Bombyx mori: one gene and its partner. The protein of the gene in region 1 purifies or fractionates together with the protein of each later gene. This does not show direct contact. Links are inferred from orthologs where the notes say so. Each region holds a gene or a part of one and is shown on either strand. Other genes may lie near its edges.

The links. The genes of interacting proteins can lie anywhere in the genome.
Region 2: the proteins of tyrosine-protein phosphatase non-receptor type 9 (region 1) and leucine-zipper-like transcriptional regulator 1 purify together in Homo sapiens (affinity purification with mass spectrometry; 3 studies listed by BioGRID and IntAct, with this or other methods). This does not show direct contact. The link is inferred for Bombyx mori from reciprocal best matches to the Homo sapiens genes PTPN9 and LZTR1.

What each region holds. Positions count from the first base shown.
Region 1 is NC_085127.1:4,650,899-4,656,161, reverse strand, and holds the start of tyrosine-protein phosphatase non-receptor type 9, read right to left. Parts: upstream 3,128-5,263; 5' UTR 2,811-3,127; coding exon 2,763-2,810; intron 2,015-2,762; coding exon 1,793-2,014; intron 970-1,792; coding exon 880-969; intron 1-879. UniProt on the Homo sapiens protein: Protein-tyrosine phosphatase that could participate in the transfer of hydrophobic ligands or in functions of the Golgi apparatus.
Region 2 is NC_085122.1:8,827,378-8,832,540, forward strand, and holds part of leucine-zipper-like transcriptional regulator 1, read right to left. Parts: intron 5,087-5,163; coding exon 4,935-5,086; intron 3,890-4,934; coding exon 3,711-3,889; intron 2,491-3,710; coding exon 2,364-2,490; intron 410-2,363; coding exon 252-409; intron 1-251. UniProt on the Homo sapiens protein: Substrate-specific adapter of a BCR (BTB-CUL3-RBX1) E3 ubiquitin-protein ligase complex that mediates ubiquitination of Ras (K-Ras/KRAS, N-Ras/NRAS and H-Ras/HRAS).

The DNA of each region.
Region 1 (5,263 bases):
TTATTGACATGAAAATAATATAACTACGACAGACTAGGCTGCATAGGCTAAACTCTGCCTGTTATTGGCGAATATAAAAACAACAACATATCGTTGCCGGCTTCCAGATTTTAATTTCCAAAAGAAGGGAAAATGAAGTCTGTTCTCAGAAACTACCTTCATTTTATTATTATTATGATGATATAATAATAATAAAATGTACATAAGGGCTTATTTCTAGCAACATTAACCACAATTAGCTTATTTATAATTAGTTACAGAACTAATTATGAGAGCGATTATTGATTTCGAAGAAAACAATTAAATACCTATTATATAAGTATATATAGGTACATAACCTTAATTTTAGGTGCAGAAAAAAACAGATTTCTCTTAAACCTGAGTGAGAATATAAAAATCGTTTTCTGAATATGAAACGATATTTCTTGTCTATAAAATTAGGTTAAAACCATCATGGCACGACAAATTTTTTTAGAGGCCCAATCGCCCAAAGAAAATGGGCATTGTCCTTTACATTTTCCAGCGCGCCAACGGGAAACACTACATGAACGCTCGATGGGGGCCGACTACTCGAATCGCGCTCGGCTTCAGTGTGCTTAGTGCGAGTTTTTTAACGTTCTCGATTGCGTAAAAGTTAGCCCAATTTTGTATGCAGTAGGAACCCCTAGCGGAAAACGTAGGCAAACGATCCCATTCCATACAAATATGAGCTAACTTTTACGCTAACGAGAACGTTAAAAAACTCGCACTAAGCACACAGTTCACTTACGCGCCAATTTTTTACATGTATATCCGAAGAAACCGTTGGCAAGATGCGTTGGCATTTTATAGTCTAGATGATTTGGTTTTAGGACTTGCAAGAAATGCTCGAATACAAACCTGTAGTGTTGTTTGATGCGTAGTCTGTGAGGGGAAGTGTTTGTTCGCTGTGAACACGGCAATGGCAGCACCGGTCGCATCTCTGGTTGGCTATGAATTAAACAATTTTTCATTAAATAAATGATAAAGCTTTATTAATGATTGAATTGCAAACTTACATTTACATGTGTTTATTATTATATTTATAGATCTTAACCTAAGAAATTACCGTTTAGTATAAAGAAAGTTAGTATTTTTTTCATATCTTTCTATTAAAATATGCACCCGTGGTATCGATACATCTCTGCCAGCGCAGTAGAGTATTTTTCCATTGGAATTCTTGAAGAAGTCAGGTGTACGGGAGCAAAAAACTCCTCAATGGCATTTTGTACTGCCTCTCGAGTATTGCTTTTTTCCTTGCAATAAAGTTGTCCAAACTTTAAAAAAATAATAGAAGTCTGTCGGCGCAAGGTTTGGTGAGTACAGTAAATGATAAAAAAATTCCAACTCAAGCTCTTGCAGTTTGGGGATTGTCTGTTGTGCCGTATAAGGTTAAGCATTGTCGTGTAAGAACCAACAGGGATGAGATTAACATGGCTTTGACCGGAGATTCACGAGGTTCTCCATCATTGTGTCCAGTTCCTCACAGTACACGTCTGTCAATACAGGTGCCAATTGGTACGAATCTGTGCATTATCCATGAGCGATGGTAACCACTCATAATCAGGTAGGCCCTATGCTTATTATTTAAGTATTTAAGTTTCGGTATGTAAAAACGAAATACCTAGTTCTTTACTGCCTAGAAAATATCAACAAAGGATTATTTTTTTGCATTTACATGGTCTTCCAACTATAACTCTCGGCAAACCTTGCTGCTTCACTTTGTCGTCGCCATTCTATATGCATATAAAAAAAGCTTTCTCAGAACACTCACCAGTATAGTAAATTTGCCGGTTTCGAGTTCTGACTTAAGTGGATCCTCGAACGGTTCAAACTTGTTGAGTCCCTCCCTTCGACGCGTGGCCTCATGCTGCCTCCAGAGCGCGTGGGCCCTCCCAACATCGAACTTGCGCGCCAACAAGAACTTGATCGCCGTCGCTCGTGATACACACCCCGCACCAGTCTCGCTGAGCTCGTTCAGAAATGTTTTTGTCGCCTGAAAAGTTTTATATTTTGTATCTCATTTCAACAATTACAAATTACGTGTTAATTTCATATTTAATTAAAACTACTTTCACGGTATAATCTCGTTTTTTTGTTTGAAATGTCATTATGTTATTTCTTATATTAGTGGTCGAAATTCCCGCAGTAGTCGAAATTCGACTATAATCAATTGAAATTTTATGTTTAAACATTATTATCGTTCTATTGTCAAACACTATTATACTTCTACAATATAATCACAGGTTTCGCCAAAACTACACTATAGATAAATAATATTAAAGACAAACAATATTAATCTATTCTCAATTTGACCAGACTTTATGCAATAACAAAAGTTTTGACAATTGACAATAAACAAATAGTATATTTATATGTATGTGTTGTGTCAAATACATGGTAAGTGTGTGTCATGTTTTATTTATTTATTTATTTAATGTATTTCTTATGCATAATTTTAAAAAAATATTCACATTCTGCACTCCTTCTCTATATATAAACTATAACTACGGGTATACTCATCCGTCCACGCAATTTTTGTAAAAATGGGTACAAAGTTTTTTCTTCACATATTATAGATTATAGATGTCATTAGATTATTTATTAGAAACGCTGCTCTGAAACAGATGCTCGACGCAATTAATTGAATGAATTTTCTTTTATTTCAAAAATAAAATATTTAATTTATTTAATTAAAAAATCTATCAAGAATTAATAAACGGGGTAATAAGAATAACCAGTACCCTTATATATTTAAGCAATCTTCGGAAAAATGCGGTTTCCATCTTCATGACAAATTTTTAAATCTTCGTATTGCACATTTCCATTCGTTAAATTCACTGCTTCGGCACTTTTTTCGTGACTCCGATAAAAAGACGTTTACATTAACCGAACCGAACCTGAATCGCATGATTTAATGCGCATTCTATTTAGTTACAGACAGGACGTGACGAGGGCGGAAAGGAAACTGACGTACGCTACCTATTGACAACTCGTGCAGAACAAACATAAAGGAACCGCTCTGAGAACTTATTTTAAAACATCCTTAACGTGGTATTCTTATCGGGGTGGCAGAGACTATACTCTCATCTTAGCTCGTAAATAATCTGCGGAGAACGGTATGTTGATTCTTCCGGGATGTGTTTCCTGTACAACTGGCCCCCCTCTTGCATTAGTATGGGCGATCACGAACTCACTACCGTATCGTAGAAAATCAAAACGGCTCGCTACGGCTTCCTAGTGGTCCGAACGAACTCACATTACTTGGTAAACATACAAGAGGACACGTGAAACTGTAATGGTTGTTTACATTATAATGAAAATAATAGTTCGAAATTTGAATGAATATTGAGTGTAATAACACTACCACGTAAAAACTGTTCTGTCGAAGCAATATAAAATTGTATTTAAATTATTAATTATCAATAAGGACGAACAACATGTTGTATAATCGACATCTACGAATGTTAAATGCGAAAAGCTCTGTACAGTCCTAAAAAATTTCGCATTAACGATTTATCTATAATCATCGATTACGGGTTGATATTGAAAAAACACGAGTGCAGAACACTTATTAAATACACACGACCACACGCACGATCACACCGTCACAGCTCCATCATCCAACTGTCAAATCACATTATAATTTATCGAATAGCGACTAGTGATCATTTTGCTGTTAGCGAACAATGAACATTATTTATGTTCATAAATAATAAATTACGGTCGTCTCACAATATTTTTTTATGTTTACCCGCATTTATTTTTATTAATATTAGATTGGCTATTAAATGCCTACTTATTAGAAAAATAAAAGAAATTAATTTGTATTTCTATGAAAATATTTCATATTTGTGGTTTTCTAATAATACCGTTTAATTGGCAGGACTTTTTTCTAGAAAACTATGTTTACAATCGTTTTTGTTTTGTTTGTTTTAAATTAAATTTATGTATGTTAGTACTCATAAAGAATCGCATGACACTGCACATGTAAGAAAAAATTCGGGTTATGAACTTATGAGTGTGTTCGTTACCGGTGGCTTCTTGGATGGTGGTCCGCCAATTTACTGTCGGGATTAAAAATTTCATTTTGATTTTTGGGATAAAACGTATTTGGTTTAAAAATTGCAATAAAAAATTCTACAGATCAAGCACAAATAAGTTTTCGTTTTACACTGTTTTACCATAATAGGCTACTTTTTATTGCGAAAAAAGGGTTCTAAAGGACTGAAAGAGGGAAATGAAAAGTTGTATGAAGTCACCGTGACCTAAGGATAAGACGTGGTCGAATCCCGCAGGCGGGTACCAATTTTTTTATAGTAATACATGCTTAACAAATGTTCGTTATTTACTTCCACAATGAAGGAATAACATCGTGTAATAAAAATCAAACCCGCAAAATTATAATTAGCGTAATGACTGGTGGTAGGTACCACCACACTGCCTAATTCTGCCGTGAAGCAGTAATGCGTTTCGGTTTGAAGGGTGGGGCAGCCGTTGTAACTATACTGAGACCTTAAAACTCATGTCTCAAAGTAGGCGGCGGCATTTACGTTGTAGTTGTCTATGAGCTCCGGTAACTACTTAACATCAGGTGGGCCGTGAGCTCGTCAACCCATCTAAGAATTAAAAAAAGTATCGTCCTTTTTAGAGCTAAAAGCTTGAAACTTTTTTTAGGATGTGGATTCTGTAGCTATAATTTATAATAATAGAGTTTGAATTATCCAAAATATAACGATAAGTGTCAAGAAGGAAAAAATATATATTTGCGAGCTATTTTTGCGTGCGCCGCAAAAACCGTTATTATTATTATTTATTTATTTCATTCCGAGCATTTGCATATTTATCTACCTTTTAAACCTTCTCTGGACTTCCACAAATGATTCAAGACCAAAATTAGCCAAATTCGTCCAGCCGTTCTCGAGTTTTAGCGAGACTTACGAACAGCAATTCATTTTTATATACATATATAGAAGATAGAAGATAGAAGAAGAAGATTATCGCCAAAATAGTGAACCATTAATATAAGAAGAAGAAAGATTAGATTTTTTCTTTGTTACTGACCAGGACCAGATTTGCGTAAAAGAATAAGTTCAATAATAAATTACGGTTCCCGAAGCGAAGTAAGGGCGGGTCGCTAGTTTTTAATACAGTTCAGCCCGCTTCAGTTGTATAGCATGTATTGGACCGTCGGTCTATCGAGCAATGTCGCCCGCTTGGTGGAAAGTCTTCCTTTCGTCTTATA
Region 2 (5,163 bases), on another chromosome or scaffold:
AAAGCTTTTTTTGTATCCATACAGCAATTTATTTATCAAATGACTAAGAGGGTTCGATATCGAATTATTTTCGCACCTCTGAACCCTATCGAACAATGACGTCACTGTATAACATTTAAACGATAAAAACCTATTTACTTCTGAACAGATTTTAATTTTGTTTACGACGACCGTCTCTGTATTTACGTTGGATTTTTCCATAATCAAGTAAATCGATATATAGAATTTTCAGCTGTACACTTGATACTTACAACCCCAAAATGGTGCACGATCATTTTAAGTGCGTATTCTTTGATGTCGGCCGCCTTCATCCTGTCCGCGACCTGCAGTATGGCGAGCACGTTCTCAGGGGACACGTTGCTCTGTAGATTGTGCTTGCAGAACACTTGGAGACGATTGTTTGTGAATCCTGTGCAATTAATACAATATAGATAATAAATATTAAAATAAACAAATATTGTAGGACTAGCGGCCGCTCCGGCTCCGCTCGGGTCTTTAACAAAAATTACAACGATATATTTTAACGTTGTTTTATTTTTTAAATAAAAGAACACTTATTGCGGCATAACTATAATAGTTAGTATATATGCTGTCGCGATACTTTTTGTAAATAATATAGTAATATGTTCTACCAAGGCGTAGTACTCGTTTTTATTCTGTCATCAATAGTTTTCGCAGGGCACGCGATGTAAAGAATATTTTAGGTAAATTTTTTTATACCTTGGGTTACATATTGGAGTTTTAGCAAAGATCCCAAATTTTTTTCAAAAAAGATTATAGCCTATGTCACTCGGGAATAGGTAGCTTTCAAACAGTAAAATAATTTTTCAAATCGGTTCAGTAGTTTCGGAGCCTATTCAATACAAACAAACAAACAAATCCTTCCTCTTTATAATATTAGTATAGATTGGTAAGAACGGAACGTATAAAAAGAGTGTGGAATGGAACGTTAAGACACGAGTGAGAGAAAACACTAAGAAAGGGAAAAGAGAGTGACAGAGAAAAGCAAGATGGCGAAGACGATTGAATGAGCAAAACCTAAAAAAGTGTCAGTTAATTTTTTTATTATAATAAAATCTGACATCTGAGACCTGGGATCTTCGTGACCTAAAGGATAAGACGTCCCGTGCATTCGTATATAACGATGCATCGGTGTTCGAATCCCGCAGGCGGGTACCAATTTTTGTAATGAAATACGTACTTAACAATTGTTCACGATTGACTCCCACGGTGAAGGAATAACATCATGTAATAAAAATCAAACCCGCAAAATTATAATTTGCGTAATCACTGGTGGTAGGACCTCTTGTGAGTCCGGACGGGTAGGTACCACCGCCCTGCCTATTTCTATTCTATTTTCTTTCGGTTTGAAGGGTGGGGCAGCCGTTGTTACTATACTGAGACCTTAGAACTTTTATCTCAAGGTGTGTGGCGCATTTACGTTGTAGATGTCTATGGGTTCCAGTAACCACTTAACACCAGGTGGGCTGTGAGCTCGTCCACACATCTAGGCAATAAAAAAAAAACATTTTTGCATTTTTTTTGAAGATTTTGGAAGTGGACCGTAGTAGTGCTATGATGACATAGTTTTATTTTATTCGCCACGATCCTTTTTCTAAATTTATAAACACTCATCATTCTCCTGCCCTTCTCCCAGTCACCTGGGGTCGGCGCAACAAGTCTTCTCCTTCCGTACTCCTCTATCATATACCATTTCTTCGCTCACTTCCATCTTACACATATCGTCTTTCACGCAATCCTTCCATTTATTCATAGATCTACTTCTTCCTCTAAAGCCTTCTAAATTTATAAACTATGTTATTTACCAATAGAGCATATACACAATGTTAAATATAAATAAATACAGAAAATTTTATACTAATTAGTTTATTAATTATTTATAAATTTAATAGTTATATAATATTAAATATTTATATTTATAATTAAGAAAGTATGTTTTGCTTGTTTTCTCTTTGCCTCACTATTCAATATCTTTTTTTTTTTATTGCTTAGATGGGTGGACGAGCACACAGCCTGCCTGGTGTTAAGTGGTAACTGGAGCCCATAGACACCAATAACGTAAATGTGCTACCCATCTTGAGATATAAGTTCTAAGGTCTCAGTATAGTTACAACGGCTGCCCCACCCTTCAAACCGAAACACATTACTGCTTCACGGTAGACACAAGAGGTCCTAACACCGGTAAGATTATCTATATTATGATGATATGTATATATTGAAATCTATGTATGTATTACAATTTCTAGTTTCCATAGTACCGGATACTCTAGTTTGGGGACAGGTGAGCGGGTGTAATCTTTCAACAATTATTTACCTTATTTAAGTGTAGGCTACTTACTAACCGTAATAAATGGGAGCTTGGAAGAGATATAGAGAGTCTTCTGTGGGCATGTTCGTGTCGCCGTAGTAGATGTAGCGCAGGAGAGAGTCGAACGCTGCCTCCGACGGAATTGTGTCGCATATCTGTATCTGTATTATGAAAATACAATTTAATTTTTTAATGATTATAATGTATGAATATCGGTTGATGGCAGTTCAACTATTAGAAATCATATTTCTATGGCACGTTTCTCTGTACACAGTATATTTTGCGTGTGTGTGTTTGAATGATTACAAAGGCATCATAGTCTTAATTATCTGCACAGATCTTCCTTCCAATAATAGCTCGCTGCTCTGGTCAACTTTTTATGATAGCCTTTATTTGTGACGTCATTAATAGCATGTAAACGCGGCGTTGTCACAGACTATCACACTGCCAGTGGAAGCTAATTAAAAAAAACCCTGAGCATTTATTACTGGTGGTAGGATCTCTTGGGAGTCCGCACGGATAGGTACCATTACTCCGCCTATTTCTGCCGTGAAGCAGTGATGCGTTTCGGTTTGAAGGGTGGGGTAGCCGTTGTAACTATACTGAGAGCTTAGCACTGATATCTGAAGGTGGGTGGCGCATTTACCTTTTAGATGGTTGATCCCCTTGCCTTTCTTAATAAGGAAAAATTGTACCAAAAAAAAAGTCTATGGTCTCCAGTAACCACTTAACACCAGGTGGGCTATGAGCTCGTCCACCCATCTAAACAATAAAAAAAAATAGAATAGGTAGGAAAAAAAATCTTGTTAACAGACTATCACATAGCCAGTGGAAGCTATTTTGAAAAACATCTGAGCACACTCATCTAAGTAAGCGTGGATCGAACATGTTCAAGCAGTTTTAGCTGTAGAATAGTGTTGTGCTCGAACGTTATTAGAACTTCTTATTAGATCTGGGTCTGCGGAGGGACTTCGGTTCCCTCTGTATTCTGTACCGTATGTTCCATGGGGAGTGCTCTGAGGAATTGTTCGAGATGATACCAACATCTCGTTTTTACCATCGCACCGCTCGCCACCGGAGTAGAGTTCATCCATACTACCTGGAGCCACTGCGGTCATCCACAGTGCGTTTCCAGAGATCTTTTTTGTCACGTACCATCCGGCTATGGAATGAGCTCCCCTCCACGGTGTTTCCCGAGCGCTATGACATGTCCTTCTTCAAACGAGGCTTGTGGAGAGTATTAAGCGGTAGGCAGCGGCTTGGCTCTACCCCTGGCATTGCTGAAGTCCATGGGCGACGGTAACCACTCACCATCAGGTGGGCCGTATGCCCGTCTGCCAACAAAGGCAATAAAAAAAAAAAAAAACTTGTAAGCAATTACATTGACGATGTTGTCTCGCGGCGAGAAGGAGCGGAACATGGCCTCGAAGTAGGCGGCGCGCGCGGCCAGGATGGAGCGGTGCGCGGGCCGCTCGTGCGACGCCGCGCGCAGCCGCACGTCGCTCAGCGCCGCGCCGCCCGCGCCCGCCAGCCCGCACATGTCCTGCTCCAGCGTCGTGCCTGCCGCACAACGCACACTCACTCGACACAAGGACTAAGGTTAACCAGGCGACAGCGGAACGCATCGTCGGTATTTCGATCAATTCATGACTGGGAAGCTCTACTGTAGTACTTCAATAATGTTACGCGTTGGGGTTCGGGATAAATAAAATTCTATCGAAGTATAAATTACTACTGTATTAGAACACTTTAAAACTCGTAGTTCACTTCTTTCGCTTCGCTTCGGGTGATCTGTTCGCTGTTTCGCTTCGAGTAGTTCCGATTACTGACTGACTGCGTGCCATCTCTGCAACGCTTTTATAATAAGATAAGAAGAGTCGTCGTGCTTCCTTGTATGGGGACACGGAACGGGTTTCAGGGCAAACCTCCCTGCCCGGGCAGAAGCTCCCTGCCACTCAGGGCAAGAGCGAAGTAATGCAGAAGGGTAGTTGGGGAGGGTTCAGTATGCGTGCTCGGTCGCAGTCTAACGCTTTTATAGTCAATACGACATCTCTAGAATCGTCGAGAAAATTCCTCACAAGTCGAGCACTTTCGATGCGTGCTTCCGATATCTGACAATAGATGGCGTTGTACTTCTCGAGCGTTCTAGATGTTAGCAGATCTTTTAATGTTCGTTACGGCTATTCGGTGACAGATGGCGTTACTCTTATTGGTGTAACAATAATAAAAAAATGCCTAAGAAGAATTAATTCATCTCAGAAGATTAATTCACAGGTTCGATAGGGCTCAGCTGTTATCTAGCGACGGTCACGCTCCGAATCACCGCGAGGGACGTCATGGGGCTCCAGTCGCGTACTCGCGTTAGTAAGATTTATTATTATAGCCCCAAAAATGTATCAAAATTGTAATCTTTTTTTTTCTTTTTTTTTATTGCCTTTGTAGGCAGACGAGCGTACGGCCCATCTGATGGTGTGTGGTTACCGTCGCCCATGGACTTTAGCAATGCCCGGGGCAGAGCCAAGCCGCTGCCTATATTGTATTCGAGTGACGTCACGTCAAGTACAACTATTACTAAGAAGCGCTAAAATTTGTTTTCGTTATATACCCGTGATCTCATCGTCAGAGTCGTGCGGGGCTGCCTGTTTGGACGACGGCTGCTGCCGCCTCCTGATCACCTCCACCATCAAGCTCTGCTCCAGCTGTTCGAATTCAGGCGACATCACGATGGGCGTGAAGTTGTAGTCTTTCACTACGAACCTGCAATTATTGTAAAATGTAAAACCTCGTTAAATAATTAAAGAAGGTTTATTCAATCTGTATTCGTCTACTGTGTA